4 linked regions of the Caenorhabditis elegans genome follow. The protein of the gene in region 3 interacts with the protein of the main gene of each other region in a pairwise test. Each region holds a gene or a part of one and is shown on either strand. Other genes may lie near its edges.

Region 1 (7,563 bases), on a different chromosome or scaffold from region 3:
TAAAAAATAGCAGAAGTTTTCTTTTCTATTCTAATAGCATCGCAATTTGATTGAAAAGGTTCAGAGAAATTTATCACTCTGCTTATTAATAAAGTAATTTAATGAACACAGGTTCAAAGTTAAAAAAAAACGGATGAATTCACATGAAATGCTTCTCCACATTTCAAACTTCATCCCGACAAGCAGCACACTGTTTGGATGCGCTGTGCCTATTCCATATCTGTGTCATGTTTGTTTTACAAGGATGTATTTAGGAAAAATGAGACCAGCTTATTTAGACGTGTGTTTGGGGGTGACGAACGGTTTTTTCGAAACTTTCCATCGTCATCATCTCCATCAATACACATTTAAAATGTATCTATTGGAAAATCTCTAGAAAATCATAGTTTGTTTGCCCAAGTCAGACTTTTCTTAAGCTGCATGCGAAAAAGAGGCTGAATCATGGAGCATACATAAGGAGCACATAATGGAATGATTTTTGAACAATCCATACTTGTAAAATTGTATTTATCACTTACTTCACATTATATTAGAAGACGGTTTTAAAGAATTCTAATACACATATAATCTACACTACGAAATGAAATGGATTTATTTCTGAACTCTCATTTCACGTTCTGTGTGCGTAATAAGTTCAAAAGTTTAAAGCCGAATAGTTTAACAATGAGTTAACTGAAAAAAAAACCTGAGAAATGTTTAAATTATTTACGAACTCCGTCTGAGAAAGGAAATGAGAAACAAGCGGAAGACGAAGGCGTTGAAAATGACGGAGGCGGTTCAAAATCTTCGCTTCAAATTTCAAAAAATGGATGAGAAATCGGAGAGCCCTGGTGAAGGAATGAAAATGATATTTCTAGAGCAGAAAGTCATTCCAACATGATGTTCAAAACAAAATGAACTGAACTTAAAAGAAGTCGGTCACATGGCTCTGATAGATTTTTGCGCACTGATTCGCAAACACAATTATGAGGGCACGCAGTTGCACTTTTTTTTTTTTTTGAAGCAACTTTTTAAACCATTGCAACAAGAAGATAGGTGCACCTTTCTGAAACTCCAAAACAATTACACTAAGGTATTGAGAAGTATTCAAAAATCTTTAAAAATTTGTTTGAAATACGAAAAAAATCCAAGTTTGAGTTCGCCGAAATACTGTGCATGAGACATACATATGCCAGAAAAACAACTAGAATGTTTTGTAACAACTGAACTGTATCAAAAAGGTTGTATGAAACCCCCTAATTTATTTGGAAAAGACAATTCCTAAGAATTTCTCCATTTAATAAATTGTTATATTTCACTTGTAGAGTTTGAATAGTTCTACCTTATTATGCATTTGATTATTTTTCAGAATATCAATTTCCAATTGTATCTTAAAATTTCTCGGTTTTTTCAGCATTGACGCAGATGATTTTGATCAGTTTTTTACGATAAATTTGCATTTAATATACATATTTTTGTTGTTAACTTGTGAAAAATTATTCAAATATGCACTGAAAAAATGGGCATCCTAGTTTTTTTCAAGTGCATTTTCTGTAGAATTACAGAATTTAGTTTTGCTTGCAAACAATCTCATCAATTTTTATGATGTATTTCCCAGGATGGTATTCAGTAGGTTTGACACGCTTATTTCTTGTAAAAAATTCCGGAAATTTTTTTTGGAAAGTTCAGAGAAACTGAAAACGTTTATTGTCTACTAACTCATAAGCTGTTTCATTGGTTGTTCTATGTATATACAGTATCTTTTGAATTCATCGAGTTAAAAAAAAACACTTTACTTTTCAGATCTCAAGTTGAAAATCCTTTTGTATATACGAACACCTTTTCATAGCTTCTTTGTCAGTTATTCAAGTATGATTCTACGTCATAGCATAACAAAAAGATGCGTTCTCACATAGAAAATGAAACACAAAAGACAACATATTATCAAACAACTTTTCTGAAAAGAAAATATATAAACTTTGATTGAAAGGTGACAAGAAGAAGAGTTAATACTGTCAGCGCTACACGGCTAAAGTTCATTGCCGTTACGTATTTGCATATGTCAAATACACTCCTTCACGCTGTTTCTTCATATCTTCTTTTCTTTTCCAGCATTTATTTTTCATTTTCCCAACGGCCGCAGATTTCAATCGGATGCCGTTCGAGCAAGTAGTTCCGTTGATTACATTTTCAGTATGTATTTTTAACATTTTCACACGTTTCGAAGAACATTTGGATAATAACACATCATATCCAAGTTTAAAAATACCAGAGAAAGTAGAAACCTCTACTAAATTAAACAGGATGTTTCAACAAAAGCAAGAAATAAAAATGATGAGAATGTAAATAGTATCTTAAATAAACAAACGCTCTGCATTGATTTGATGCTAGAATGAGTCAGATGTTTTTTGAAAAGTACTAATCACTTGTTTTTTTCAATCAACTGTTGTTTGTAAACTTTCAGATCTTATAAAATATTTGCAATACTACTTCAATTGTTCAAATTAAGTTTTTTGAGGATATGTTCCAAGAAACTGTTTCTCTGTTTACTTTCATTCCTACTCATTTTTAGTTAGCAATTTGAGAACTTTGTATTAATGGAAACCCAAATCGAACAGATCTACTACATATGATATTTTCGTAATTTGAATTAGCAAAACTCTTTCAGTAGGGATTTATGGAAATTGGAACGTTCGAGAGAAACCAAGCTATGCTAAACCTTTAATTTTTGCCAAGTTGCTTCTATTGCTTATTTTTATAATTTTTTAAAATAATTTGGTCCAGTTTTCAGCGTTTTTTTGATAACTACAGAAATTTTCACTGTGAAATTCAATTTTTTGGTTTTATTTCAAGTCCATCAAAACAAACAAATCCACAATTAGTGTCGTGAACCCGTCGTGAACCCGTGTCGTGAGCATTCTCGATGTTCCAAGTTTCATACGTTTTTTGCAACATGCTGAAATAGACAACATTCTTCTTTTGTATTATAGATTGACATTGGTAGTCTTCAAACTCAAAAAAACCTAAAGGTGGAGTAGCGCTAGTAGGGAAAGAGTGAAAAACTATTCCTATGGTTCCAAAATGACCGAATAGCATAATAAAATGTTTCAAAATTTTTTTGAAAACTTTTTTTTTGTTTACTGTCAAAATGTGAAAATTACTCAGTTTTTGCAACTAATTTCGGAAGTCGACCAAAAAAAGTTTGTTCCTACATTTTTTATCATACTGTAACTTTGTTTTAACTATTTGTAATAGAATATTGTAGTAGTCGGAACATTCGACATAGTTATGGATTTCCTCAAAACTCACATTTTTTTCAAAATTTTGACAACTTGCCAAAACTTTGACCGGAAACTAGAAAACATCTAAAATTTGTTGGAGTTTTTTCTTATGATATTCGGTTGTTTTAGATCATTATAAGTGCATTTAGACGAAATCCCCACTGGTGCTACTCCACCTTTAAAGGTTCGGTTATTTCACATACCTGATACACTTTGAAAAATGTCAAGTCATAAATTCCGTTTATCATTATTGTTTTGGTTATTTAAAACATCAAATAACCTTCTAGTAAATATTATTGTTCAGGCATGTATGATAAAAATCTTGAACAATTTGCTAACGATCTGATTGGAAAATTAATTAGCTTTGATTTTCCAATCTTTACCAAAAAAAAACCAACAATTTAAAGTTATTATTATTTCCACGAAATAAAAATGTTTTCGAATTTTTTATATTTCCAGACGTAAAAAGAAAGTTAGCTGAAACCACCTGTTTCTTGCCAATAAATCAGTTTTTTTTTTAAATATTCACAAAAAAATCATTTGAAAGTTTGAAGCTTGTTTCAAAACATTTTGAGTGAAGCTTACTAAACAAAAGTTTTTGAAAAATGAAAACACGTCACTTTTGTGTTCGCATATACGTGATTCACCGTAAACTCCACTTTTGTAAAACTACGAAAGATACTGGCTGAAATGATAGGAAAATTCGTCGAAATATTTGAGCATCTGACTGTAAGTTGATAACGATTATACGAACTAATCACCGTTTCCATCTGCTCAAAACTCGCTGACTCACAAAGAATTTTAACAGAAATTAAGAAATGGCTCTATGTCAACTTTCAAAATTCTACAACGCCCAACTTGAGTTTCTTATCAACACTTTATTTTTTGGTCTATCTCTTGACTGAATCATACCGAAAACGGTTACATGACGTGTCGAGGAGTTCTACTGATACGAGCAAGCAAACGCTTTATTTCTCTCCACCTCTTTACTTTAAAACTAGCCTAACTCTTGTATATAACACACATTTTTCATATTTTCTATCAAGTTCACGCCGTCCCATCGACATTTAAGGTAAATATTTGAGTGTTCAATCTTATCTATGAAGCATTTTTTTCATTCCAGTTTGTGTGACATAGCACGTTGCCATTCCTTATTTCTTGAAAACTAGTTCGGGTTGTGAAATTTTCTTCCAAAATTGGTCCTTTAGTAATGTAACTTGATACATCAGGTTTTGTGAAAATATTTTGAATGCTTCAAACGACGTTTGTTGTTTTATTTTTCACTCTCCGAGTATCTAAAATCTATTCAAAAATTAAAAAAATCCGTTTTGACTTTTTGCATCTAGTTTTATCACTTCTTCCTGTGTCCCTCCCAAACTTTTACAGCCCAGTTGGCAATGGCGATAAGAAAAACACTGTTTCTGCCCACTTTGAGCATTTATTTCATCATTTTCATATTTTGGTTAAGATGTATAGTTGTCAAATGTGCAGGCTATTTTAGTATTTTGTGCTGTCGTCATTCTTACATTGAAGTGCATTCTCATTCCGTAACTAGGTGGTTGCATAGATGCCACCATGTGTTTGTCTGTCGTCAATAGAAATTTCCATATTTAGGAGAAATTGTTTTCATACTTTTTTAATACTTTTTGTCCGTCAATCTTCTGAAAAAAATATTAAAATTAAAACCATATGTTTCAGGTTCACAATGTGTCTTTCCGGACTCACCCAAATTCTCTATGGACTTATTATGGCTGGTAGTGCTATTTTAACAGCAGTTGCTTTGTTTACGCCAAGTATGTTTCATCTTTGGAGATGTTAGAAAAAGTGAATTTTCAAACTCTCAGGTTGGAATACTGTTGAAAATAATGTGAAAGATATAACTCATATCAACACATCTGAATGGAATGGCTTGATGCCTTGGTCATGTATTGGTCACTCTCAGGGAACCCAGTGTCAGGATTGGTGGGCGGTATGTTGATGAAATTATTTATATGCTCAAAAATACTGTTTTCAGAATCTTCCAGGATGGATGAAATGTGTCGTCGTCTGCATGATCCTCTCTTTGATTGTCCAAATTTTTGCAGTTGTCTACAACTTTTTGACATGGTTAGATTAGCGAAAGCCGACATTAATATAATTCAAACAACTTTCAGCCTTGCCTGCTGCTGCAAGAAATATATCATCCATCCACTCACCCTCTTTGCAGTCATCTCTACTATTCTTCTGCTCATCGCTGTTATTGTTTATGCAGCTGAATGGAATCAATTTACAAATGGAATTAATACAAACTCGCAGGTGAGAATGCTATTCTTAATGTGGGAAAAAGTGTAAAATTATTTGATTGAAACTATTAAACTTCACTAAAACTCTTTTTTTACACATGTTCTAACCCTTTAAAACCCGATTATAAAGCTTTGAGAAACCCTCCCTATCTCACATTGAACAACTTTTTGGCCAATCTGCACATACCCTAAGGCGCAAAAGCTGCTCATAAACCTTTGTTTGTACAAACTCACAACTTAATTTTTCAGCTTGGATACTCGTTTTGGCTTGCAGTTGGAGCCCTCATCTTATCTGCGGCGGATGTCATTTTGGGAGCACTAACAGTGTGTCTTGGGGAACACTGCTGTTAATTAAACTTGATTATATTTATTATTTCCCTGCATTTTCTGTGATATAAACTGCTCAGCCCAGACGTCGGCACCAATCTATTTGTTAAAGCTTTGTAAGATTTTGAACTTGGTTTTTCGCATTTAACGCCGAACTACACTGAAAAAGTGCAAACAAGACTGGCAAGATGGGGACGGCAAAAAATGTAACGGTTTTGTGTTTGTAAAAGGTCTTTTGAACTGTGGTAAGACATGTGAATATGTCTGTTCTTAGTGACACACTGACGTGTCACGAAGATCAGGAGCAATTTTTGTCGATTTTTTTCGACTTGTTGCTCCCAAGTTTGCGGCGTGGGAGGCATCACTACTGAGGCTCGGTCAAAGAACATAGTCAATTATTTCACAGTTTCTTAAGAATTTGAAAAACGCGCGCAGCGAGAAAGATCATTAGTTGAACTCGGAACATAATATGTTAGATGAAATGTAACAATGCCAAGTGTTTGAGCAAAAATTGAAAGATGTATTGTGCAACAAAGGTTGAAAAAGTGAGTCATTGTAAACATTTTGATAGAAGTAAAGATTGGTGAAAATCTTTAGATAGTGACATGAATTCTAAAAAGTTGTTTTTTCTGTGAAAGCAACTGACTGACAATTCAATATATGACTATATACAATATACATATTCCGCTTATTAAAAATGTGTTTTTATTTTATTTTGCACTATTTTTTTAAAATAAACATATTTAAAAATTTGTGTCAAATTAATAGTTTTTATTACAATCACTGAATTCACTTTTTCATGAACAAGACTTTAATTGATACATTAAGAGTTCAACGAAAAATAATTATGAAAACATGAAACAGCTTCTGCAAAAATATATATAATTAAATTCAGATAATAATTTACTAAATTTTTAAAAACCGATTTTTGAGTGGTTGCGGTTCTAAGAAAAATTTACTGAAGTGGACCTGCAAGATGACTGGCACCCAGATTTTTTTGTAGAGAAATTGCTACAAATAATCTAGACATACATAGGTATTTCTCCTGGAGAAATCCTAAGTTTTTGAGTTATATACATTGGAAAGTTAAAAAAACTGGAAAATCAAAAGTGAATAGAATATTGGCCAGTACTGTATATTATAGGTTATTGCGATCTAGATATGAATTTGAAGGCGGATGGGTTAAAGATGAACAAGCGCCAGTTTGGATTTTGTTAGAAAACGTTTCAAAGATCGGAAGTATCTTTTTTAAAATCTCCTTCGGAGATGATGGCCCCTCGAGGATGAGGGCCCCTCGGGGATGGGTGTCCCACGGATGAGAGGCTCATCAGCGACGGCAGCCTCTCAGGGATGGGGTTCCTCGGGGTTGGGGGCCCCTCGGGGATCGGCTCCTCTCGGATAAGGACCTCTCGGGGATGAAGACCAGTCTGGGATGCGGGCCTTTTGGGGATGCGGGCCCCTAGGGAATGGGGGTCCCTCGGGGATGGGGACCCTCGGGGATAAGGGCTTCTCAGGGAGAGGGCAATTCCCCGGAGAATCATTCTGAAAAAAAAATCATTTAAAGTCAGATATCAATTATTAAATTTATGAAAAATAAGTAAATATGACAATTGATAATAGGTTATATTACATCTAAAAAAGTGCTGTCACACATATGTCTTAAAATTCAGATTTTCTAATTAAACTCAATACTT
Region 2 (8,179 bases), on a different chromosome or scaffold from region 3:
GGACTCCTTCCATCTCTTTTTGTACATATTTCATCTCGCCTGATTCCGTATAGACTGTCTCAATCTCTCGTCGTAATAGTCGGTTCAAGTAGAGAACGTCATATTGTGCAACGCCGTAGATGTTCACTGTAAGGCATGCGTCAAAGAGTTCGTGAAGTTTTGCCACATCGAAATGCACGAGATTCGGGTAAAGTAACTCGTTCTTTCGTGGCACTGTGGCTCGTCGGATCAACGAGAATAGCAAATTCGCCTTGTCATTGCTTCCGGAAGCTACTGGAGCCATATCTTCATCATCGTCGTCTTCTTCCATTTGAGTATATTCAGCAACAAGAGATGATGATTCCAAGAGTGCACGATAAAGCTTCTCAGGTCGAGAAAAGTGGCCAGTAGTGAGCATTGCCGAAATTTCGACGGCGGCGAAGTGAAGAATGTAACCAACAATCATACGACGAACAGCGAATACACCTTGAGCATATGTATTGTCGCGGGCACTTTCCAGAGTGAGAGCCGAACAGATGAATGGAGATGTTGTCAATTTCTCGATAATATTTGAAGATCGCATGAAGCAGAGCACTGGTTTAGAGAATGGGCACGTGATCGAGACAAGTCTTTGCTGAAATAATTTTATAATTTTTTATTGAATACATTTAGAAACAGACCATCAGCCGGAATGCAGGCTCTAGTAGCGCTGAGAAAGGTAAATCGAATGGTTTCTTCGACATCACAAATTGCTCGATAATATACAGAACATAGTGAAGACCGGTGAGCACGTCGTCCGCTTGATACAGCTCCTTGGTATGGGCTTTTGATGGTCGGAATGCGAGAAGGTAGTAGCAAATATTGTTGGTATCAGTCAGACGATTTCCGGTTCTTGTTACTTGGCAATCGATGGCGTCCGAAAGAGTTTCGATGAGAATTCGAGCGGTTTCTCCTCTCGCGAAATGTGGATTATCTGTGTCTTCTTCTGAAATATAGATAATAATTTAAAATTCAAGATTATTTATATATATTATTTAAAATTTCAAACCTTTCGCCAATGAATCATCAATCGTATACTGAATCGACGTAGCGCAGATCGCCGCTCGAACCGCCCGAACATGAGATGCAGCCGAGTTTCTGGATCTTAACAACTCGAGCATCTTCACCTCGGCAGCTCCACGTGTAGCCATCACGTCTCGAAGAATTCTGGCAGCGTAGAGAGAGTGTACCGGGTAGTCATCAGTCATATGAAGGTAATGGAAGACGAGATCAAGAGGTGTGCAAGCGGAGGCTGAGATGATTGGTGAGAAGACGAGGGATGGAATGGAAGCGATCATAATATCACTGGATGAGACACGGGCACACGCACGAAGAGCCGGATGCAGAATTATTGCTCCTGGAAAAAAAATAATTAGGCCTGAATATTATTACATGTAATGTTACAGCATTTGAAGACGGTGTACAGGCTAAAAATGCCAAAATTTAGGGAAACATTCGATAATTCTAGCTAAAATCTTCAGTTTTGACTTATTTTCCGTGCTGCAGGAATCGAAAACAGACATTTACTCGATTATTGTCTTATTTTTACGCACTTGATGCGTTTTACTCACGCTTTTAGTTGATTTAAAGCTTCAAATCAACGAGAAAGTGTAAGATAAACGGCAAAAATAAGCAAAATAGAACACTCATTGAATAAAAATAAGTATCAAAATTGTGGATTTTAGCTGAAATTACGCCATTTTTCAACATTTTGAATCGCAATAAAAAAATTTCGAGCCATTTTTTTAAAGTTCCATCATGAAATTCGATATATTTGAGGCCTGAAACTCACGTGATAAAATTCGCAGTGCAATCAAAGCTGCATCGGATGATGGAGACTGCCGTGTGACGTACGGATCATTGTGAGCTTGACAATCCTCCATAATAACCCGCGTGATCTGAAATTCGATTTTTTTTTTTAAATAAAATTCAATAAATTCTGTGACTTACAGCTCTGTACATCGGCGTATCATTGAGGCACTGCGTCAAAATGGCAATATGAACTTCGTTCGATGCCACGGCTCTCGGCTCGACGATTCCGTGCTCGAGAAGTGCGTTGGTGGCTCGGAGCGACCACTCGGCGAGCTCCCACATTTGAACAACGCTATTATAGCTGCGTGTGGAGAAATGTGCCAAAATACTTCTGGTGACGAATTGGATGAATGGTGTAGCGTATTCCGGTAGAGATCTGTGCATCAGAAGGGTCGTCATCAATTTCACAAAAGCTAACGACACATCATATTGCTTCGCGACACATTCTCGTTCCTCGAGCTCCTGCTGGATTCCCATTAGTGTTCCACCATCCGAAGAATAGCACAATTGATTCAGATGAATTGCTTGCCAAATTCTCGGTGCGGATCCTTTGAGCCGTGCCACTGCCGTCAGCAAATCAAGCATCGATGCTTTCATAGATAGCGGTACTGGAGAAGTGGAGAGCGATGCGACAACAGAACACAACGTCCATGAAGGATCATCCGAGAATCGCATAGCGGCTCGTTCATTCAATTGAGCAACTTTTGTAGCCATATGGATCCAGGCTACTAGTCCGCTGAGCTCTTGAGCTGGGATGGTGATTTTGTCGCCTGGACGAAGTGTGAGATTGAGGCTTTGTTGTTGGTGGAAGCTGGTGCTCATACTCATTGTCTGACTTTGATTGTGACGAGAATTCGACGCATACTTCTGCTCCCGGTACAAACGATCGTAGCCTTTGAGTGCTGAAGCCAGAGATTCCCATCCATATGAATCTGGTCCACAATGTTCTTTGGAGAAGATGTCATAAAGTAGAGCAGCTGTGTTCTCATTTTTGCATACAGCAGCGCACATTTCCAGATAAGCAACTGAATGAACAACATGATGGTTTGGAAGACGAGCACGTTCCAGGAGCCGGCAGAGCTCAATCGATCTCTCCGTACTAAAAGCCATGCTGTTCTCTTCGATTTGCTCCTGAAGCTCTCGTTCGCGTGCTGTTCTCGCATTCTTCTGATGTGCATAGTCGGTCACTTGCATCTCGTATAAATCCACAAAGCATCGAAGGAAGTTCTCATATTGTGATAGAGCCGAATCATAGTTGTTCGATGGATCTGTAGAGCTCAGTTGAGCTGTAACTTTGTCCGTTATGTGGACTGTTTGGCTTTTCGGATCCGGTTTTTGAGTCGTTGATTGTTCCTTTTTCTGATCATCCAGGAAGTTCAGCTCGTCTGTAGAATTTCTTTCAGTCTCCATAAGCTTCGCGGGGAAATATGAAATCAGCTGTTTCAGAAGCTCATCAATAATCATAAACTGATGGGCATAACGGAAGTGTTCCGACTTGATGATCGCTTGTCGCAAGTAATGAAAAGCCATATTCCGGATAGATCGATCGATGACTCTTTCCACGTCCACCTTGATATTCTCGATCCCTAGATGATCTGATGGCGATGAGGCAATCGATTTCAGAGCAACAGCGCATGCTAGCTGTAGAGTTCCGCACATTGCTTGATCCGACCAGTCTGTTTCATTCCGAATGTGGGCGATCATGTTTGTGAGCACTTGTTGAGCATCGTGAACTGTAAACTCTCAAACAGATTTGTAACTGGATTTTTGGGTATAGGCATGAAGATGGAGTAGCGAGAATTGCTTTAGAAAATCGAAAATATTCTCGAATACAGAAAAACCACAAAAGAAAAACAGAAAAATCGCTACTCCATCTTCAAATATTACCTTGAGACAACACTTCACTCGATGTGATTTTAACGAGAGAAATCCAGGCTGTCAAGCTACTACAACTGAGCTTCTCCGGTGGAACTGCCTTTACAATTTGGAATAAATGATTTGAAATCGAAACTGCGTTTCCTCCCGGAATCTCACAGATCATCGAAATGCAACCAATTACTTCACTTCGAATCTCCTCAATGGCATTTCTGACCTGAAATTAATTTTATGAAAGAATTCCAAAATTATAATCAATTCGGTACCAATTTCTGATGTTTAGAGCCTCCTAAACCGTTGACATCTGGAGATTGAAGTCGTGCAAATTCTGATTGAACGGTGAAATTGATTAGTTGTTCTGAAAATTGGAAAAAAAAATTAGTAATATTTATGATAATATAATTTTTTGAAAACCCACGAAAAAGGTTTTTGATCACGTCCTCGTTGATGAATGTGCTATTGAGGAACTTGCTGATACGTTGAGGAATATCCTCTCGGTCCCATTTTAGCATTTGGCGCATTGTTGCGATTAGGAGCCTGTGCGCATCATAGTAGCAAACGACAGCGATTAATCCTCTGTTGAGGCCTTCGAAATGTATTTTTTGAGCTTCTCCGGCCAAAATCAAATCCACAGCTTCCAGCTCATTTAATTGAAAGATATCCGACAAAATGAGTGCTTCCGAACAGATTTCCTCGTCTAGCGCAACTTCCACTCCTGCCATTTCCACATTTCCTGGCTTCAGCTTTTCCCGATCTTTACCCGTTCGTCTCTTCAATTAGAAAGGTTTATTACACTAACATCAGTCGGAAAACATACCGGATTCAAAAGAATATTGCTCAATCGCCATCTGTATTTCTCGATTTCGTTGAACAGCTCGTTTATTTTTCGGTCGTCATCGAAAGCTGTGAAGGAGACGATGAGTTCGTAAAATTTACGAATCTCAATCCACATTTTGAGCTCTCTAAAATAAATAAAACATTATTTAGAACAAAAAGTTACTTTTTTTGAATTTTTTCGCAAAAAAATTACACAACTTCTATCTCGCAATGCATTTCCGTAAGAGACGCAGACACAAAAACTAAATTTCGTATTTCGAGGCTACAACTACGGTAACACTCGTTTCAGCTGTGTATTTTTCGCGCGTTCGCTGCGAGACCCGACGCTCTTAGGCCGCCAATTTCGAATCGGACGCTCATTTTGGCGCGCTCAGTTGTTTTTTTGTGCGCTCTCTAGCCGGCTGTCTTGCATCGATTCAGTGTTCAGTGTCCAGTGATGTCCACTGGTGTGCTAGTTCTTTTTCTCTTCACTCATTTTTCTTCGCATCCTCAAGTTTATTGAATATTCACCGCGTTTCTTTCTCTCTTTCTCCCGATCGTCCTAAAATTAAATGTCATCTTTTTCCAGATCTCTAACAATGAGCGACTCTGATAGTGAATTCTCTATCGAAGATTCACCCAAGAAGAAAACCGCACCAAAGAAGGAGAAGGCGTCACCGAAGAAAAAGAAAGATGATGGTTGGTTAATTTGTAGAGTTTCTTGAATCTAATTTGCTTCTTTTCAGCCAACGAGTCGATGGTTATGACTGAAGAGGACCGCAATGTGTTCACGTCGATCGACAAAAAAGGTGGTGGCTCGAAACAAATGGCGATCGAGGATATCTACCAAAAGAAGTCCCAACTCGAGCACATTCTTCTTCGCCCGGACACCTACATCGGTTCGGTCGAGCATACCGAGAAGACGCCGATGTGGGTCTACAACATGGAGGAGAGCAAGCTGGAGCAGCGTGACATCTCATACGTGCCGGGACTCTACAAGATTTATGATGAAATTCTTGTGAATGCCGCTGACAACAAACAGAGAGATCCGAAGATGAACACAATCAAGATCACCATCAATAAGTAAGTTTAGACCGTAGCATAAAGGAATTTAATTTAATTTTGCTTTCTTTCAGGGAGAAAAATGAGATCTCTGTCTACAACAATGGCAAAGGAATCCCAGTCACTCAGCACAAAGTGGAGAAAGTCTACGTCCCAGAGCTGATTTTTGGAACTCTTCTAACATCTTCTAACTACAATGACGATGAGAAGAAAGTGACGGGAGGACGCAACGGATATGGAGCAAAGCTTTGCAACATCTTCTCCACAAAATTCACTCTGGAGACGTCTTCACGGGATTACAAAAGTGCATTCAAGCAAACGTGGATCAAAAACATGACGCGTGATGAGGAGCCGAAGATTGTTAAGAGCACCGACGAAGACTTCACGAAGATCACATTCTCGCCGGATCTGGCAAAGTTCAAGATGAAGGAGCTGGACGATGACATCTGCCATTTGATGGCTCGGCGTGCGTATGATGTGGCTGGATCCAGTAAAGGAGTCGCCGTGTTCCTCAATGGAAAACGAATTCCAATCAAAGGATTCGAGGACTACGTCCAAATGTACACTTCGCAGTTCAACAATGAAGGAGAACCCCTCAAGATCGCATACGAGCAAGTTGGAGATCGTTGGCAAGTCGCCTTGGCTCTTTCGGAAAAAGGCTTCCAACAAGTGTCATTTGTCAACAGTATTGCTACCACAAAAGGAGGACGGCACGTGGACTACGTGGCTGATCAGATGGTCGCCAAGTTCATCGACTCGATCAAGCGGAAGCTCACAAAGACGTCGATGAATATCAAGCCATTCCAGGTAAATTTCGTCGAATTTAAAATATTTACCGCCAATGATGACTCAAAATAGCTATATGAACTCTTTGGTGACTCGATAATAAGAGAAATCTGAAAATTTTCAAGGTTTTTCTAGAGATTTCACCGATTCTTTTGAAGTATCGGTGCACCAAGTGAAAAATAAAATTGCGACGCTTTAGTGACGCTGGAGAAAGTTTTTATCCAGTGTCTAAAGGCGCGGCGCAACATTTTTAAACTTTCCGATGATTTGTGATTACTAAAAGGCGAATCTGAGGCGAGGAATTGCTAATGCGAATTCAAATCTAATAAATTTTCCAAATATTCAATTTTATATCAAAATTTTCAGATCAAAAATCACATGTGGGTTTTTGTGAATTGCTTGATCGAAAATCCGACATTCGACTCCCAGACGAAAGAGACTATGACCCTGCAGCAGAAGCAGTTCGGATCGACCTGCGTCCTCAGCGAGAAGTTCTCCAAAGCGGCTTCAAGTGTTGGAATCACCGATGCTGTTATGAGTTGGGTTCGCTTCAAACAAATGGACGACCTCAACAAAAAGTGCTCCAAGACGAAGACTTCCAAGCTGAAGGTAACAATTCATCTAATTCGTGGCCTTGTTTTAATTAATATTTATTTCAGGGCATTCCAAAGCTTGAAGATGCCAACGACGCTGGAACCAAAAATTCCCAACAATGCACATTAATTCTGACGGAGGGAGACTCGGCCAAAACGCTTGCTGTTTCGGGACTTTCAGTCGTTGGACGCGACAAATATGGAGTATTCCCACTTCGAGGAAAATTGCTAAATGTCCGAGAAGGAAATATGAAACAAATCGCCGATAATGCTGAGGTCAATGCCATGATCAAAATTCTGGGACTCCAATACAAGAAGAAGTACGAGACAGAAGATGACTTCAAGACTCTTCGATACGGTAAACTGATGGTCATGGCTGATCAGGATCAAGACGGTTCACACATCAAAGGACTCGTGATCAATTTCATCCATCACTTCTGGCCTTCTCTCATTCAGCGGAACTTCGTAGAAGAATTCATCACTCCAATTGTCAAAGCCACCAAAGGAAAAGAAGAAGTTTCCTTCTATTCGCTCCCAGAATATTCTGAGTGGAGAATGAATACGGATAACTGGAAGTCGTACAAGATCAAGTACTACAAGGGATTGGGTACATCGACTTCTAAGGAAGCTAAGGAATACTTCTTGGACATGGTTCGTCATCGTATCCGCTTCAAGTACAATGGAGCTGATGATGATAACGCTGTCGACATGGCTTTCTCGAAGAAGAAGATTGAAGAGAGAAAAGACTGGCTCTCGAAGTGGATGCGGGAGAAGAAGGACCGAAAGCAGCAGGGACTTGCTGAAGAATATCTCTACAACAAGGACACTCGATTCGTCACCTTCAAAGATTTCGTCAATCGTGAATTGGTCCTCTTCTCGAATCTCGACAACGAGCGTTCAATTCCATGCCTTGTGGATGGTTTCAAGCCAGGACAGCGGAAGGTTCTCTTCGCGTGCTTCAAGAGAGCAGACAAGCGTGAAGTCAAAGTAGCTCAATTGGCTGGAGCTGTCGCTGAAATTTCTGCTTACCATCACGGAGAACAGTCGCTTATGGGAACAATTGTGAATCTCGCTCAAGATTACGTTGGCTCCAACAACATCAACCTGCTTCTTCCAATCGGACAGTTTGGTACTCGTCTCCAAGGTGGAAAGGACAGTGCTTCAGCTCGTTACATCTTCACTCAACTGTCGCCAGTCACTCGTACACTCTTCCCGGC
Region 3 (8,405 bases):
AGAGTGACGAGAGATGGAGAGAGGGCAAATCGAACACACACGGAGGTGGTAATGGCAAACAATTTTGGGGTTAGAACAGCATGGAATCGCACTTTTTGTGGGGTTTTTTTTATGGAAATGTGGGTTCTGGTAGGCACGTGCTTTAGCTTTGGAATTGTAACAAAATCTAGAAAAGAGCTCAGTGTATAGCAAAAGTTAGGCCAGGCACCCACGTGGAGTCAGAAAGTCCCATGTCGCTTTGATCTACAAAAAATGCGGGAGATTGCATGACTAAAGGCCTCACAATTTTTCTGGGAAAAAATTCCCGAATTTTTTGTAGATCAAACCGTAATGAGACTTTCTGACACCATGTGGGATCCCAAAATAGCTTAAAATACTTAGAAAAATTGGCTAAAAGTGGAATACTATTTTTGAAAACCGTCCGAAGCAAGGTTTTATTGTAAAACCGCCTAGAATTTTTTCGATTTTTGGCAGAAACTCAGGGGAATGCTCAAGAAACTTCAAAATTTATGCTCAAAGCAACGTTGTGTCAGAGTGAAAAAAAAATTTCACATTTTTTTGTAGATCAAACCGTAATGGGACAGCCTGGCACCACGAGCAAAATCAGGGAAAGACAGGAACAAGAAAACTATAAGAAAATTCCAAAACTGGACAAAAATTGCGGGTTTTAGCAAAAAATGTCAAGTTTCTTCTGACATAAAGGATTTCACTGAGAATTTCAAAATTTGAGCCAAAAAATTATGTTTTTACTGTAAAAAAGTAGCGTTTTTCCAAGAAACTGGACCCATCTGGGTGAAGCCAAGTGACTAGTAATCGAATACTATGTTGTATGACATAGAAAGAGCTTCCAAAAGAGACATAGAAGGAGAAAGAGATGTCCCACACAATGGCACGTGGCTTGATGAATAGCTTTTTGCAGGAGGCAGGGGGCGAAGAATATTGCAACGCAGATTGGCATCTTCTTCCCAAATACAGAGAGAGACCTTTCCTTTTCCTGTTGAGTGTTTTGACCGGAAGGGCGGTACATTGACGTGTTCTTCAACAAAAGAAGGAAATTGGAGAGAGAGAGAGAGAGAGAGAGAGAGAGAGAGAGAGAGAGAGAGAGAGAGAGAGAGAGAGAGAGAGAGAGAGAGAGAGAGAGAGAGAGAGAGAGAGAGAGAGGAAGAAAAGACGTCGAGTATTTACCCGAATTACATGTTCTATTCAAATTGTGGTAGAGATGGAGACCGGGAAACCGGCTGACTGGGGTGTATGTACCGAAGGTGTCTCTAATTGGTAGGTGGTCTTGAGCTGAATGACAGTTCAATGCCAGTTTTGTAAACTGGGAACACTGGCCGAACAAACTTGGAAATTCAGGAAAAATTGTTAGCTAGGCGGGAAAATTCCCCAAAATTTTGAACTTTTGGGCGCTCAAAAGTTGCCCTTCAAAAGCACGTCCCATTTCGGTGTGATCTACCTAGATCTACAAAAATGGCGGGGATTTAGATGCAGACTTCTCAACTGATTTTGCATGGTTAAAACGTGCTGATGTCACAAAAAATCCCGCATTTTTTGTAGATCAAACAGTATTGGGACAGCCTGACACCGAAAGTAAGAATTTTCGCATTAAGGGCCTACCCTAGAAATTTGTATCTGAGAACCAAAATCTGAGGGAAAACCCTGGGAATTGTAGAGTAGTTTCCACCGAAAACCTTACACAAAAAGAGTCAAAACTTGCGTCTACTTGCCGTGGCGAGACCTACTCGGTACTATTGTAATTTCTTTCTAAATTTCCCGCATTTTTTGTAGATCAAACAGTAATGGGACAGCCTGACACTAAAAGTAAGAAATTCCGCAATAAGCGCCTGAAAATGTCAAATAAAACCCCTAGAAATTAGTACCTAAGACCCTGCAAATTCCTTTAAAAAATTTGAAAATGCAGCGCATTTGCCTAGTTCTCGGAAGAAAATCCTAGGAATTTTAGAATTTTTACGAAAATCGTGGCGAGACCCATTAGGCACTACTGTAGTTTCTATTTTGGTGTGTGCGCTTTCATTTATTCTCATTTATTTCCATTTCAACTGACATGCCATTCACTTGCCCCTTGAAAAATGCCGAGAAGCCGATCACACAGCTCTCCTCGTTTCTTGAAATTGCGGGGGAGATGCTCTCTCTCTCTCTTTCCCGCCGCGCCGCCCGTTGATGCTCAGTGAGCCCTCGGGAGCCTATTGGCGGGGAGGAGTTGTTGTAAAGCAAACATCTCGTTGTAATCAGTTGGAAGAGAAGAAATTGAGAGAGAGAGAGAAGCTAGAGAGACTTAGAGATTAGACAATGGCGCAGGCAGGGGAAGGAAGCCCCCAACAGCACTTCATACACTCCTCGAACTTTATCTTCTTCTTCTTCTTCGCCTCTCGCTCATTTGAGCAGTAACGGAAAATGGGATTGAGCTTTTCGCAAAGAAATTGGATTTCGGCGCGCCAAGTTGTGTGCAAAAAAAACGTCGGGAGAGGGAAAAAAGTTCTCGACAAAAAAAGGTTTTTTTCCTAAAAATCACTGATATTTTTCCACTTCTACCGCTTTAAAGGAGGGCGCACTTACACGAAATGGTCCCGCCACGCATTGATTTTTGGGCCGCGTGGCGGGACCATTTCGTATAAATGCGCCCTCCTTTAAAGTTGGAGAAGTGGAAAAAAATGCACTGTAGATATTCTAGGAATCTAGATAAATTCGGTGATGCGTGGGATTCAAAATAGGCTTAACATACACTTGAAATACTCCGAAGTTGGAAATATTGAGCATTTTTTTCGAAGACTATGAAAAGTAATGCATGAAAAATCACCACGAGGAATTTGAATTCTGCTGGATTATTATATTACACGTGGTGTCAGAGTGGCTCACTTCGGTTTGATCTACATAAATGCGGGAGAAGAGACGCACAGTTCTTAACTGATTTCGCATGGCTAAGAATGTGCTGACTAAAAATTCCCACATTTTTTGTAGATCAAACTTCAATGAGACAACCTGGCACCACGTGTTAATAGATCACATTCGCTTAAAGTTACCGCCAGACTAGTGAAATTCCAAAAAAAATGCCACTGCTCTAAGCTTTAAATTTTTAGGATCAGTACTTGAAAACTAATAGCTTGTTAAGCTAGAAAATTAAATATCACATGGCACCACTTAGAATTTTCCGAAATATTGAAAAGTAGCCTTGCAAAATTTGGCTAAGGCCGGAGCTTAAGAATGTTTTAAGCCAACAAAATTTTTTCAAGAACGTATAGCAATGACTAAAGGGAATTACATAAATTGACAACACTTTTTGCTCACAATCAGTTTTCAATAAAACAGTATAATGACAACTTACAAAATTGGGAAATCTGGAAAACCGAGCTAAAAGTGATGCCAATCTGGTTTGAACATCATTACATAATGTTATATAACATGCTAACTAGATAACAGCCACACCCTGATCAAGTCTTTTTCGGGAAAGAAGGATTTCTACAGTACCCTATCTCTGACTCTCGACGGAATGAAAAAAGTGAATCATGATTGAATACAGTACAATGTATACCAAACATTTGAAGAAACAATATATATATATATATATGAACATTATTGAAAAAAGAAGACACACACACACACACAAAACAATAGCTACCCCGGTGGGGGAAGAAGCCTATGGGAAGTGAGAGAAAGAGGGTGGAAAAGAGAAAAAAACCGCGGATCATCATCAACGTCACCCTCTCTCACTCATTTTCATGCCCAAAAGGACAGGAATGGAAAACTAGCTGTATATATGTATGTATCTCTCTCTCTTCATTCCAACTACTCACTGACTAATTAACGGATTAATTGACTTTGAACATCGCGCCACAAACCTGGTCGTTGTGCTTGTGGATTGGGAATTGGAAATACCTGAAGTCGGTTTAGAAACCAAAAGCTGCCCGGATTGGGCTTTAAAAAGAAAGTCGACTCACCTCTTGAACGGTCTTCTCCTTCTCCTCGAGCTTGGAGGTGGCGGCGGAGAGGTCCTCCTGAAAAATGGAAGTTTGATTTTGAGCTTATTCTTTTAGCTTAGCTTAAGCCTAAGTGTTTCAGCTTAGGAGCATAAGCCCAGGGAGACAGGTAGACCTAGGTGGACGATGCACCATGAGCTTCGAATTTGATTTCTAGTGGTGTCCTAGGTAAATTTTAGATTCCAGGTTAAATTTTTAGGGCTAAAAGTTACAAATTGAGCACCCTGCACTATGAATTTCGAATTTTGTTTTTAGGGTGATTTTTAGTTATACTTTAAGATTTTATAGGTTACTTGAGCGCCAGTGTCTCTAAAAAATTTTGTTTTCTGAAATCGGACTGTAATCAAAATTCGCTATATATAAGGTATTGTAAAAGCTTGATTCCAAAAAATTAGGAAATTTAGAGCTCAACTTCTGCTTTTCAGAACTTTGCTCAGTTTCAGGCCAAAATCTTCCGGGATAGCGGCTTTAAGTTGAGAAAGTAGGTATTAATAATACGCTAATTATATATGGTATCAAAGTAGAAGCTAGACAATATTTTGGAACTTCTAGAAACTCCTGCGATTTTCATGAATTTTTAAGCTTCCTGGTAAAAATCTGATAGCTTAAAGTCTTATCAAACCAAGATCTAAGCGAAAATTTAGGAAGCCAGTTTATATGGGGTCTTAAAATCGATAAAATATACGCAAAGAGCCTAAATTCTGGCTTAAACCCATACCTGAGCCTTGTCCAAATCGTCTCCGGTCTGAGTCATCTTCTTCTGGGTGTCTCTGAGCTCTTCCTCGACTCTTTCGAGCTTCTCGGTGATCTGACGGACTTTCTCTTCAGCGGCATCGGCACGATCGAGAGCGTTGTCCTAGAATATGTGTATATGGTTTTGAGGAAAAATTCAAAATATTGGAATGTATATGACCACTACTAATTTTAAAATTGAAAAAGTTGAAGAAATTCACTATAAAACAGTATTAAAATTTAAAAAAAGTGTGGAAACCTTCTCGATCTTCATGGCCTGCATCTTCTTCTTAATGGCGTCCATTTTTGGTAGTTTGTTGTTGTGTTGAAACACACGGAGTATCGACGATTCAAATTGGAGGGGAGAATGATTCTTCTTCTCCCGTTAGCTTCAGGTTCCCGTCTTCACGAGACTCCTCCCACACGAGCCCCCGCTTCTTCTTCTTCTTCTTCTCTCTTCTCACTTCCTCCACAACATCAGACGGGGGTGTGGCAGATGATTAGATAGTATTGATTTCGTGGAGACCTATGCCTATGGGATCCCTGCCCACCCACCCCCCTGGAGCATATTACAGCACACACGGAGCAACGGGAATTGTGGGGAGAAGAGCAAGAGCCGATGGCAGATGGAAAAGATGATGATTGGGGAGAAGAAGGGTTTCTCGTGGAATGGAAAAAGGAACAAAACTTTAAAAAAAAACCACATAATTAGTAAGGTGGTATGGTGTTCCAGGACCGATATTCGCGTGGTCGCTTGATGACGTGGCAAAAGCCGTTCTGAGCCTCTTTACATTAAAAAATTGAAACGATTATCAATTTGATTGTTAATTACGTTATCGTACAAATAGTAACGATATTTCTTATATATCTAGACTGTTAGTAATAATAACCATAAGTGATGTAAAATCAAATTGCTGCAAAATTTTCGAAAATTTAACTCAAGATTGACTAAAACTTTAATAAATTATTAAAGTAATGGTGTCATTAAAATTAGTTACATTTTTAAGGACATCCTTAAATTTGAACATTAATGGAGTTAAAATTAAAAAATAAGTGTCTCATTTTCGAGGCCTAACAAGGCTTCAACCTTAACATTAACATTACTGGTAGCCTTTTTTAAAGCCTATTAACAAGCCTTCAAGCCTAACATAACGAAATCATATTGCCTTTCACCATACATCCAATATGAACAGATATCATAAATCTGGGCTTCCCTAGTAATATTACACTACGAAAGAGTATGCTACAAGTATGGTTTTTTTCCAGTTGAACCTTTTTTTAAGAACCTTGAAACTTTATGGAAAGGGTTGCAACACTAATGCACACGTGATATAAGATATCCTATTACTGTAACTATTCATGAATGAATTTTTAAAGAAAACTGAACAATCAAAACTGAATTTTAAAAAATATGACAAGCTCAGTTTTTACAGTGCCATGTTACATAGCTTTGTTCTCCGGAATTTGATTAGTGTCTAATTTTACAATAAGAAGTACCACATTTCATCTTTCCAATTTTCATACATTCCCATATTTTTCCATTTCTCTTTACCCACTATTAGGGCTGTACAACCGGACGTCCGGTCGTCCGAAGTTCGAACCGGACGCACATGCGTCCGGTTGGGGGTAGCTATCCACGACGGCCGACAATTTCCGAATTTCGCCACTCACTATAAAATTGCTGATTAAGTATAGTGAGTGGCGAAACTCGGAAGTTGTCGGCCGTCGTGGATAGCTACCCCCAACCGGACGCATGTGCGTCCGGTGGTGTCAAAATCGGACGACCGGACGCCGATTTGTACAGCCCTACCCACTATCCATAGAAACGCATTTACTTCCCTTAAACTTTTTTTTGTTATTGTTCTTTTTTTTTATCTCAGATTCCCAAAAGTCGGTCAATGATCAGAGTCTCAGTTTTTGAAATCCTGACATTAGAATCCAATACTACTTGTGTGTATATGCTCTTCTTCTTATCCCCGAAAAGAAGCAATTGTGGCATCCAGCCGACGACAAAACATTCGAAACAGTTGGCGTTCGAGAGTTTATTGTCAAGAGGGCAACTTGTTTGATAATATCAGTGGATTATGTGGAAGAGGTATAATAGTAGTGGTTTATTTTGAATTTAGGGTTATATTTAATGATTTTGTAGGAGAATACTTGTTAAAACTATTTATCATAGACAGTATTTCTAAATAAGTCGTGATAATTTAATGTCAACTAAGATTCGTGATCATGTATATATGCATGTATGTATGTATTACGATTATATAATGGTGATGAAAAATAGATCCATGAATAGTACCAGCTACTTGCTACACTATTTCCTATCGATTAGTCTTGCATGTAATATGACTAGGGGGACCTCGTTATATAATATCTGTTCGTATTGGATGTGTCGGAAAAGAAAAGACACTTCTTTTCTAAATTTCATTCTATCCGAATTAATGTTCAAAATGACATATTTACTATAATTATGCATTGACGGATTAGTCAATTTTCAGATAAGTTCGCAAAATTAAGTACTTCAACCCAATTTTATATCAAACGTGATTACCATAACTTCTAGTCTACATAAGGCTAGAGGAAATATTGTTACTTTTTGCACGCTATCGTAAATTGAACGTTAATGAAAATAAGTAGTGTCAGCCGAAATTTCCTGAAGACTGTGGTTTTCTGTCTGAATTTAGCATTTTTCGTATTTACTGCATTATTTCATTAAGCTTTACTACTCAGCTACGCTTTTTAAAAAAAAACTTAAAATTTTCCGGATATTTACCATAGCAAATAATCATTTCCCATTAGAGGCTATATAGCAATAACAGTTCTAATACAGTATAATATAGTATATATTCAATTTTTGTCAGGTTTAGTAATTTTTTCAATACAAATTTTTGAACATGCAATTGTTATCTAACGGTATCAAAATTTACTATAATAGTGTACACATTCCATTTTTCGATTTTCCGTTACTGAATATATTTACGGTAATACTTAAACAAAATCCTTATAATCAATTTTTATTTTAAGTCGGTGTTCCATTTCAGTATATATTCAGGTTAATAATTTAATATTTAAATAAGTCAATTTTTGCTCTATTAGACTAAAATGCCCCAAAAAGACCGAATTTCGTAATGAGAAGTTTTCAAGACGTCTCATTACAAAATCCGGTAGTTGGGGACAGTTTGCCTCCAATTTCATTACTGTAAAACAATATAACACAATATTGTTTTTGAACGGATATGGGGATTTTTGATGTTTTTAGCAATATCGAAAACAGTGTACATTTTTCTTTTTCCGGTTTTCTGTTAATGTATATTCATTCATATGCATGTGTATATATTTACGGTAGTACCTTAATAAAATTTCCAAATTTCAATATACTCGTCAAATGAGAACACCCATGTGTTCTCTCGTACATATCTTTTTCGAAAAAATGCTCATGTTTTTGTGCTTCTTCTTCTTCCTATTCCACTAGTGCACACACACACACACACACACACACACCTCATTCTCGCTAACCGACGCTTCTTCACCAATTGTTGTAATGCTCTGAAGAGCCCGTCTCCCCGGGTTTATTAGAGAATCAGAGATTGCTGGTCGGGGGGGGGGGGGGGCTCCACACAAAAATCTTCTGCGGAGGAGGAGAGTTGTGGAAAGTATATTATTTTTTGTCTCTTT
Region 4 (8,469 bases), on a different chromosome or scaffold from region 3:
AAAATTAACCTTCATTCTGACAGTATGCTCTGGTGCACTGTTCACTTCTAGTGCACCCTTTTCTAATATCAATTGCTCGTTTGTTATCTGCAAAAATTATGAGATCCCCGTCCACTCGAACATCAGCCATGCATCCTATAAAGTGATGAGTTCCAGAGATCTGTAAATCAGTTTATTGAGTAAAGAGTGTATTTCATACGCTAATACCTTTCCAAATCTGGTGAGGAACACTTCAAGCTGTCCGTTGACTGACTTTTGAACTAGACTGAACCCATTTTCAGTGGAGACTTCGATTTGGATTTTCTGTAATAAATTAAAAATATATACTCAAGTTAAAAAAAATTTAAACTTACATTATCCTCTCCCTTTACAAACACTGTATACCATTGAGCATCGCTAACTCTCATTGGCAGCAGGTGCTCCAACGAATTTCCGGTCATGTTGAACACCAAGTATCCCGACAAAAGTTGAATAGACAAAATCTTCTCTCCGAGAATGTTCTCGCTGCTCGCCAAATGGGTATTTTCCACAGTTGTGCGGAACGAAAACTCTAGTTCATAGGCAATATTTTCGAATGAAGAAGTTCTGAAATGCTTTTTTCATAAAATATATAGTTAGAGAAAAAGAAAGTACCCAAGGGAGAATTTGGAGCTCTGATGAATATACAAACTTTTCGCCGAAAATGTTGCTGACGTCACCATTTCACACTGTTGTCCAAAGTGGCCTATTTCACATCCACATTGTGCAGTGATATTCACGTTATCATTCACTTGGCTACAAGTTTGACCAGATGGACAGGATACTTTAGAGCATTTCTGAAAATAAGAATGGAATGATTTGTCTACATTTTTTACTTTTTAAAATTTTCTTAAAGTACATATATAATACCAACAATTCTGGAAAACTGTTTGAACTTACTGTCTCAAATTTAATGTAGAACAAAATCAGGGACTAATTTCTTTATGTTACAAAACATAGAAAAGACTAAAAATATAATTTTAGTTTTAGTTTTTTGAATTCAAAAGACACAATTAAATTTCGTAAAACTTCAGCATTCTTCTACACTGTTTTTCATTTAAAAAAAACCTACATCATGTTTCTGATCACATTTTTGTCCAAAATATCCATCATCACAAATGCAAACTGGCCCAGATTCGACGTCAAGACAATTGGATGAGTTGACGCAGTCTTCGCAAGATATTTTCTGAAAAATTTTAATATTGCAAGTATTTATTATGAACGAATTTTGAATAAAAAACTAAAACACTCACACTCTGAGAGAATCCGTCGATTCCAGAAGTTGTAAAAGATGGAAACGTTCCTAATGTGGGAATAGGGGTTGAAGGCTCATCCACCGTTTCGCAGTGGACGCCACCAAAGCCTGATGTGCAATGACAGAAGTATTGTCCATCTGAAAAATTGTAAAACTTTAAAGAGTATCAGTATCAGCACAAAAATTAATTTACAGCTCCCTAAAAAACTCTATTCTTTTTCTTATTACCTGCATCTTGGCAAGTTCCTCCATTTTGACAGGGATTAATTGTGCATCCAGATTTTGGCTCACAGAACGGTCCATCAAACCCTTCTTCACATACACAAAACGGTTCCCCTTCTGCGTCGAGTTTACAGCTTCCACCATTCAAACATCGAATGTCACTGCATGTTGGATGTGACCGATATGAATTACTTATTTCACAATTGGACCCATTGAATCCTTCCGGACACTGGCAGGTAGTTGCGGCTAACGCGAACACACACTTTCCCCCATTCTTACAATCCGATCCATTAACCAGACAATCAACAGGCTCTCCACAATAGATGCCGGTAAAAGAGGGAAGGCAAAAGCAGGTGAAGAGATTCTGCCCGTCGTCGACGCAGTGACCCCCATTAAGACACGGCTCACGATCGCATGGACGAGCTTGCAACTCTTTACAGTCGGCACCCTGCAATTAAACGATAGATTGCGCGAGGGACCCATATCCGAACATGCCCAGATTATTCGTCAAACGTACCATAAACCCCGAAGGACACTCGCATTGCGTTGTCCTTGACGTCCCGTTTACGAGTGAACAAACATGAGCCGGGTTTTCACATATACACTCGTTAACCTGAGAAAAAACACAAGCAATTAACAGTGAGAAAATTGGTGTTACCTCTGCTTTGAGCTCGCAGAATGCACCATCAAACCCGGGAGAGCACTTGCAGGAGAGATCGGAGCCAGTCGAAATGCATTGACCATTGTTGTGACAATAATCAGAAGTGCATTGTTTCTTGTCTTGGATTTCACAGTATTTACCTAGAAGAAATTGTGAAAACATGTTTCTTCTTAGTTTTCTTTTGTTTTTATAAAATAATTTATTCGAATGTAAACTCTCAACAAATCAGCAACGTTAACAAAATTGAGAAAATAATAAGAAAGTTGAAAACTATAAGTATTGCAAAAAAACTGGGTATTTGTCCAAATATCATAATAAAACTTTTTGAACAACCTGAAGAAATGATTTTATTTCGAGCCAAAAGGGATCAACATGACAATGCTTCAGATTTGTCGAAACGTGGCAAAAACATGTATGCGATTTTTGACTCGAGATAAAAAATCCCCGAATTGTTTAGAAAATTTTTTATGACATTTGGTCATTTAGCACCTTATAAATGATTTTTGATCAAATTCACACTAGTCTTATTGAAAAAATCTAACTAAACGTTTTTCAAACTTCAGGTTTTTTTTTCACAATTATGTCTACTGGAAAACTATATTTCATCCTTCCCATCCAAATTTTCAAACCAAAACTCACCAGAAAATCCTTTTAAACATTTGCATTCATAACTTCCTTTCAAATTTTCACAATCTGCTCCATTCTGACAAAAATTTTCTTTGCACTCGTCCTCGTCAGTTTCACAGTGATCTCCAACAAATCCAGGTGGGCAGGCACATTTTACATTTCCCTGAACATTCTATTGGTTTTTATCACTCTGGACTCAAGTCACTCACGTTCTCGGCAACACAAGTGCCGTTATTCTGACAAGTGTGTGTTGCGCAAGACGGCTCGTTGCTCTGGCAAATGTATGATCCGTCGGCTCCTTTTGTGCATCTATAAAAAACATACATGTTTTTGGTTTGCACAAGGTCATGTATACCTTTCGTCATCGCCACATTGCGGTGAGCACTTTTGAGCAGTGTCATCATCAGTAACTAGATTATCACAAAGTGAGCCCATCCATCCTTCGGAGCACTGGCAAGTTTCTTCGCCAAACGTTCCTTTCACGCAGTTACCGTGGAGACAGTGCAAAGAGCAGTTGTCCTGACATAGCAACCCACTGAAACCCTTCGGACATTCACACTGAAACATTCGCGTCTCATCGTTCACTGTGCAAGTTCCGCCGTTAAGACATGTGTTCCGACTGCACGCTCTGTTACATAGTGCTGAAAAGAGTTTTAGTGACAGCTTGTGGTATTCATCTGTCTTAATGATAATGATGGATTACTTTTTGCAAAAAGTCAGTTGGTAGTTTTGTCCAAGTTTTAGATTGGAACTGATCTTTGGAAAACAAAATTTAGAAATTTATTTTGTTTTTTGGTATGAAATATACGAGCTTCATTTAATTTTCAGAGAAAGAAGTCATGTGTTTTATTGAAAAGGTCTGGGCTTCTGAAATAATTGTTAACCGACAAATATGTTAATAGTTATTTGTTTACAATTTTAGTTGAAAATATATAAACGATTACAAAATCAAAGAAGAGATGGGCTGCAAAAATTGAGAGTTTTCAGATACAACAATGCTCAACACTTAAAAGCCCAAAATCAACTTTCTCAAACATATTTTGAATTTAAATTAGATTTTCAGTTTTTGAGATGTTCACTTAAACTTCGTGTTATACATTTCTATCTCTCATCTAGTCTAAACCAAAACTTTTCACACTCAGATCAATCAGTCTGTGAAACCGAATGACATCATATCTTAGTAGTAGACTTACCATTTGTAACCAGGGTACAAAATATGAGAAAATGTTGATATTTCATGAGTGGTAGATCATTGAATGCAGATCCCAAATAGGAGTAATGACGGCAGCTAGTCGAATTGTTTTGTGTTTGGAGGTAAAAAAGGTAGTTTGCCGCTTGACGATTGTTCTTCTGTACCGCACACGCTAGCTGCCGGAGTGACGCGAGAGAGAAAGAGAAGGTCCTAGAGAGCCAGGTGTATTGTCGGATAATAAGCAGGTAATTAGAACGGAAGAGGAAACACGGGCAAGAGAGATGAAGGGGGGGGGGGGGGGAATCTCGTGGTTGCCAGGGGTCAGCTAGCTGCCCTGTGGCATTTCGACGGTAATTTGGAAATAGTAGGGAAAGTTTCAGTTGACCGAGTGATTGAAGATATACAAAATTTTCAAACGTTTATAAAAAGTGAAAACATAGAAATTCAGCGTTTAGTTAAAAAAAAAGGTTTTCGAGAGTATTTGTACAATTTCGACATTTTTTTTGTGCTCGTTTCAGTTTGGCAGCTCATGCTTTTGATTTTACTTTTAATTGTCGTCTGATAAAATATTTCCTACTTTTTTTTATTATCATCTAGTTCCTAATGTACTTGTATGTGTTAATAAAATTAGCTGAAATATGGGGTTTTATCCCATAACAAGCGACAATATTGTTTTATTGTGATTTCAGGAGTTTTTTTATTTAAAAGAAATAAGAATGAACAAGCTTAATTATGCGTAAGTACAAATTCAAAATACTCAAAAAGTGCTGGGTCCACTTGAATTACAGCAAAAAACCCTCAGCAGCTAATTAGTTCCAAACAATTTCCGGCTGTCAACATCTCCAACATCTATATATTTTATGTGTAGTAGGTCGGATATTATACAGACAATTTTCAAATGATGAGACTAGTTTCACCCGGCACGCACACGGAAAAAAGAAGGGGATAGCAAAAAAGTGAAGCGAAAAGGACAGTGTGTTTGTCCTGTTATGCGGAAAAATGAGATTTGCTGGGGTTACCGATATCGAAATACGTTTTTAGAAAATATTTGGATGAAAATTCAAATAAAAATTTCCGAAATAAAAACGGCAAAAGCAAAAAAGTTTAGTAGTTCCGTTTAGACGGGACAAACTTTGCTGAGAAAATTGAGTAGAAATGAAGGCCAAGGCGGAGCACAGTTGACAAATGACCGCGCATTTGGAAATGGCAAACTGTCGGAATTTCATGGAAAAATACCAACAAGTGAATCAATTACATAATTTTAAAAAGTGAAATTCTCAAATGTTTCAAAGATAGTTGGGGAATTTCAAACTACCTCCCAATAATACTCAAGAGACGCAAAGTTTTTGAACTTACTTGTTATGCTATCAGTTATGTTTTTTGGAAATGTTGGAGGTCACAAACCTTAAAATTGATTCTGATATATATTTTTGATTAATCAAAAAATTACAGTTCATTGTGAACATTTTACGCTCAAAAATATGTTGCCAACATTTTCAAAATAGGGAATCTTCTCAAATAACTGAAAAGTTCAAATTTTCAATTCACGGTAACATGATGAAATAAATTTTTAAAAAACAACTTTTAAAAACAACTTTTTTTTCAATTTAATAAAAATTCAGTTGATAAACATTGAATAATTAAACTTAGTTTTTGTGTTGATATTTGTTGAAATGCTAAATTTTTAAAACCAAGAGATTATTTGGATTCAAATTTCAAATTACAAATTGATCTGACGATTTTTTGTCGTTCCTAAAAAAAATGCTAAAATTGTACTTACGGAAAACAACAATTTTGAAAAGCAAAAAAAAATTAGCAACGAAAAAAAATCACCCCTGTGGCTAGCTTCTCGGATCGCGTTCTACTTATGGTATTATCTGGGGACTTTGCATCAGAAAAAAAATACGGCGCAAAAATACGCTAGAGAAGATAAAAATGTATGTGTGCATGATACATCTCGTCGCCTAATTGTCTATCTCTAAACACCTTTTTTTTGAATATGCCGCAAATATGTAGTGGTCAGTCAGTCAATAAAAAACACGCATATAGACAAAACAAAACGATTGCGCGCGCGCGGGGTCGTAAGGTCATGGAAAAGAGCATGGTATTGATAACAGTGCACACATAACCCCAGGTCTTACAAAAAGAGTTTTTGGAAAGAATAGAATTGTGCAGCAAATGACAGAAAAGGACGGAGGGACACTTGATGGACTGCTGAGGAAAAAAAGGTGCGTGGACGACCGGAATATAGGGTGTATTAAGAGTGAAGGGACACATGTATTTGTTTCGAGGCATTTCCGGTTATGGCGAGAAGAAGGGATATGAACAAGATAATTGAAGACAAATAGTCCGTGATGATTTGTTGACTAACAGTGAGACAATTATTTTCGAATCAAGGTTTTGAATACTAATTATGTAGATCGAGCTAGAAAATTTATTAAAAAATTCTGACTATTTTTCCTGTACTAATAAAACTTCACTAAGTACCTTACGTTTTCAAACACAAAACCTTATAAAAATAACTTATTAATTTAGAACAGTTGTACGTAATAATGCAAAAACCATTACAATTATTTTACAGAGCCTTTTGCAATTTTAGGAATCTAGTAGTATACATAGTAGTTGTATCAAAAACTTAGAATTACACAATCCAGAAATAGAACTAAGCAGCAGGCCCAATCACTGCAAATGACACTTAATTACAATGTAAAAAGTATCAACAAGCAGGGGCAAAGAGTTGAGAGCAAACTAAGATTGAATACCTAAAAGAGACTCATCAACTATCGAACGATCTCCAAAAGCACAGAAACAACACTTGAGTTGGTTGGAAGGAGGGGGGATATGACTTTGTTTGGGCAAGCGCTAGGCTCTCCCCCTCACCATCTTGGGCTCCCAGAGCACACCCCATCGGAAACCGTCTGAGCCACTTAAAGAGCCACCGCAGTGTCCAGCAACTTCTTGACTTCGCGCACCAAAACGTTTTGTACTGTAGCGCGGCGGATGGGGAAGCGAGTATACAAAAGCCGGGTTTGCAAGTGGATGCTTTTCGAAAAATGGTCACTTGTTTTGAAATTGTTAGCACGTTCTCGTTTTACGCGTACCCCGCCGCCGCCAGACATGTCCTCAACAACTATTCGCAGTGTTAATTAACTACGTTTACCTTGTTGCTTGCTCTAATTTCCACAATCACGCACCCCATCTTCTTCCCTGGCCCCCTTCAAAACTTATTCAATTAGCCACCTTTTTATTTGCCCAAGTATGTGTTTTGTTAATGAATCAAAAATGAATGGAAGGTACGACCACCATGCTAAACCCAAGACCACCCACCGAGAAAATACAACTTTTGCGGAAATTCGACACCACTGTGTTGGCTCATGATTTCTCTGATTTTTCGAGTGGAGGCAGATTTTTGAGGAAAGTTCAAACGAACGTTTTACGAAAGCTCACAGGATTCATGGATAATGTTTTGAAGTTCAACGAATACTTGTTTGACTTCACATTTTAGCTATATTGTTTCACCTTTAATATTGATACAAAAATGCAGCAATAGAGCTGAAGTTTTGTAATTTAAAGCATTGAAATTGTCTCAGAATTTAAAAGAAAACAAACGTTTCAAATTAGCATGAAAAATTCATCAGGCAATGTATAAATAATCTCAGCACATTAAAACAAAAGGAATTTGACGAAATGTGTGAGGAACTTGGAATAATACTTTAAAAACAATGAAAAAATCATTGATTTTTTTTGTTGAGTACTTTACTCCAATTTTAGCTTTTACTATCAAAAATTTCATTATCAAACGGTTGTTTTTATTTATTTGGAAATTCAAACATAACTGTCCATAGTTTAGAAATCAAGATGAAACCAGAAGATCAACGGTTATCAATTGGCAAGACAAGACATATCGCAAGATTTTGAACTAAAAATAGTTTGTTTCATTTCATGACGCTTAAGATATGAAAACAGCGACACAGAAGTCAAAAACAACACGGGTACACAATTAATTGTCTTCGTGTTCATTTTCATTAAGATAACAAACATAGACGAATGCTTTTAGAAGTTCAAACAGAGTGCGGTAAAACTTCAAACGTGACCAGTGCGCAGCAGAAAAAACCTGTGAACACCGTGGCGTTTCCTAATTGAAGTGTCTAATGTCCGACCTTTCAGGAAAACAAGAACTAAACTACACATCGGCCGGGATTGAAGAGACTTTAAATAGTGGTATGTATGAGGCATAATAAGGGAGTAGCTCCTGGAGCTAGAAAAACGTTTGAAAATTCTTGAAATGTTCTAAGTAGTTTTTAAAAAAATTTCAAAAATAAATTAGTCTTATGAGAATATGATGAACACGAATTTTTCCTGTATTGTTCTAACAAAATTATAATATAAATCTAAAACTCCCCGGAAACATTTCAATAAACTTTGAAACATTTTCCAAACAATATTTTTTTTTAACACCGTATTTTTTATACATATGTAACTGTTTCAGCTTAT

Evidence for each region.
Region 1: the proteins of lev-11 (region 3) and clc-1 interact in a two-hybrid assay, tested with the Caenorhabditis elegans proteins (one large-scale study listed by BioGRID).
Region 2: the proteins of lev-11 (region 3) and npp-3 interact in a two-hybrid assay, tested with the Caenorhabditis elegans proteins (one large-scale study listed by BioGRID).
Region 4: the proteins of lev-11 (region 3) and crb-1 interact in a two-hybrid assay, tested with the Caenorhabditis elegans proteins (one large-scale study listed by BioGRID).

Annotation. Positions count from the first base shown.
Region 1 is NC_003284.9:11,043,278-11,050,840, forward strand, and holds clc-1 (Claudin), read left to right. Parts: upstream 1-4,168; 5' UTR 4,169-4,332; intron 4,333-4,958; 5' UTR 4,959-4,965; coding exon 4,966-5,053; intron 5,054-5,104; coding exon 5,105-5,229; intron 5,230-5,274; coding exon 5,275-5,366; intron 5,367-5,413; coding exon 5,414-5,555; intron 5,556-5,791; coding exon 5,792-5,893; 3' UTR 5,894-5,998; downstream 5,999-7,563.
Region 2 is NC_003280.10:11,870,037-11,878,215, forward strand, and holds the start of npp-3 (Nuclear Pore complex Protein), read right to left. Parts: upstream 4,753-8,179; 5' UTR 4,658-4,752; coding exon 4,523-4,657; intron 4,476-4,522; coding exon 4,124-4,475; intron 4,064-4,123; coding exon 3,972-4,063; intron 3,923-3,971; coding exon 3,718-3,922; intron 3,564-3,717; coding exon 1,969-3,563; intron 1,917-1,968; coding exon 1,811-1,916; intron 1,376-1,810; coding exon 1,028-1,375; intron 965-1,027; coding exon 660-964; intron 614-659; coding exon 1-613. Other genes in the region: DNA topoisomerase 2 top-2, read left to right, coding at 5,121-5,220, 5,268-5,604, 5,658-6,390, 6,736-6,978, 7,029-8,179.
Region 3 is NC_003279.8:14,625,929-14,634,333, forward strand, and holds the start of lev-11 (Tropomyosin isoforms a/b/d/f), read right to left. Parts: upstream 5,167-8,405; 5' UTR 5,032-5,166; coding exon 4,987-5,031; intron 4,852-4,986; coding exon 4,714-4,851; intron 4,014-4,713; coding exon 3,957-4,013; intron 1,125-3,956; exon of another isoform or gene 1,052-1,124; intron 1-1,051. UniProt on the Caenorhabditis elegans protein: Tropomyosin, in association with the troponin complex, plays a central role in the calcium dependent regulation of muscle contraction. Involved in muscle actin filament organization and muscle arm extension and morphology.
Region 4 is NC_003284.9:17,409,828-17,418,296, forward strand, and holds the start of crb-1 (uncharacterized protein), read right to left. Parts: upstream 4,188-8,469; 5' UTR 4,023-4,187; coding exon 3,977-4,022; exon of another isoform or gene 3,865-3,976; intron 3,425-3,864; coding exon 3,139-3,424; intron 3,093-3,138; coding exon 2,993-3,092; intron 2,947-2,992; coding exon 2,796-2,946; intron 2,297-2,795; coding exon 2,154-2,296; intron 2,109-2,153; coding exon 2,013-2,108; intron 1,944-2,012; coding exon 1,502-1,943; intron 1,412-1,501; coding exon 1,272-1,411; intron 1,205-1,271; coding exon 1,091-1,204; intron 816-1,090; coding exon 634-815; intron 586-633; coding exon 354-585; intron 304-353; coding exon 208-303; intron 161-207; coding exon 10-160; intron 1-9.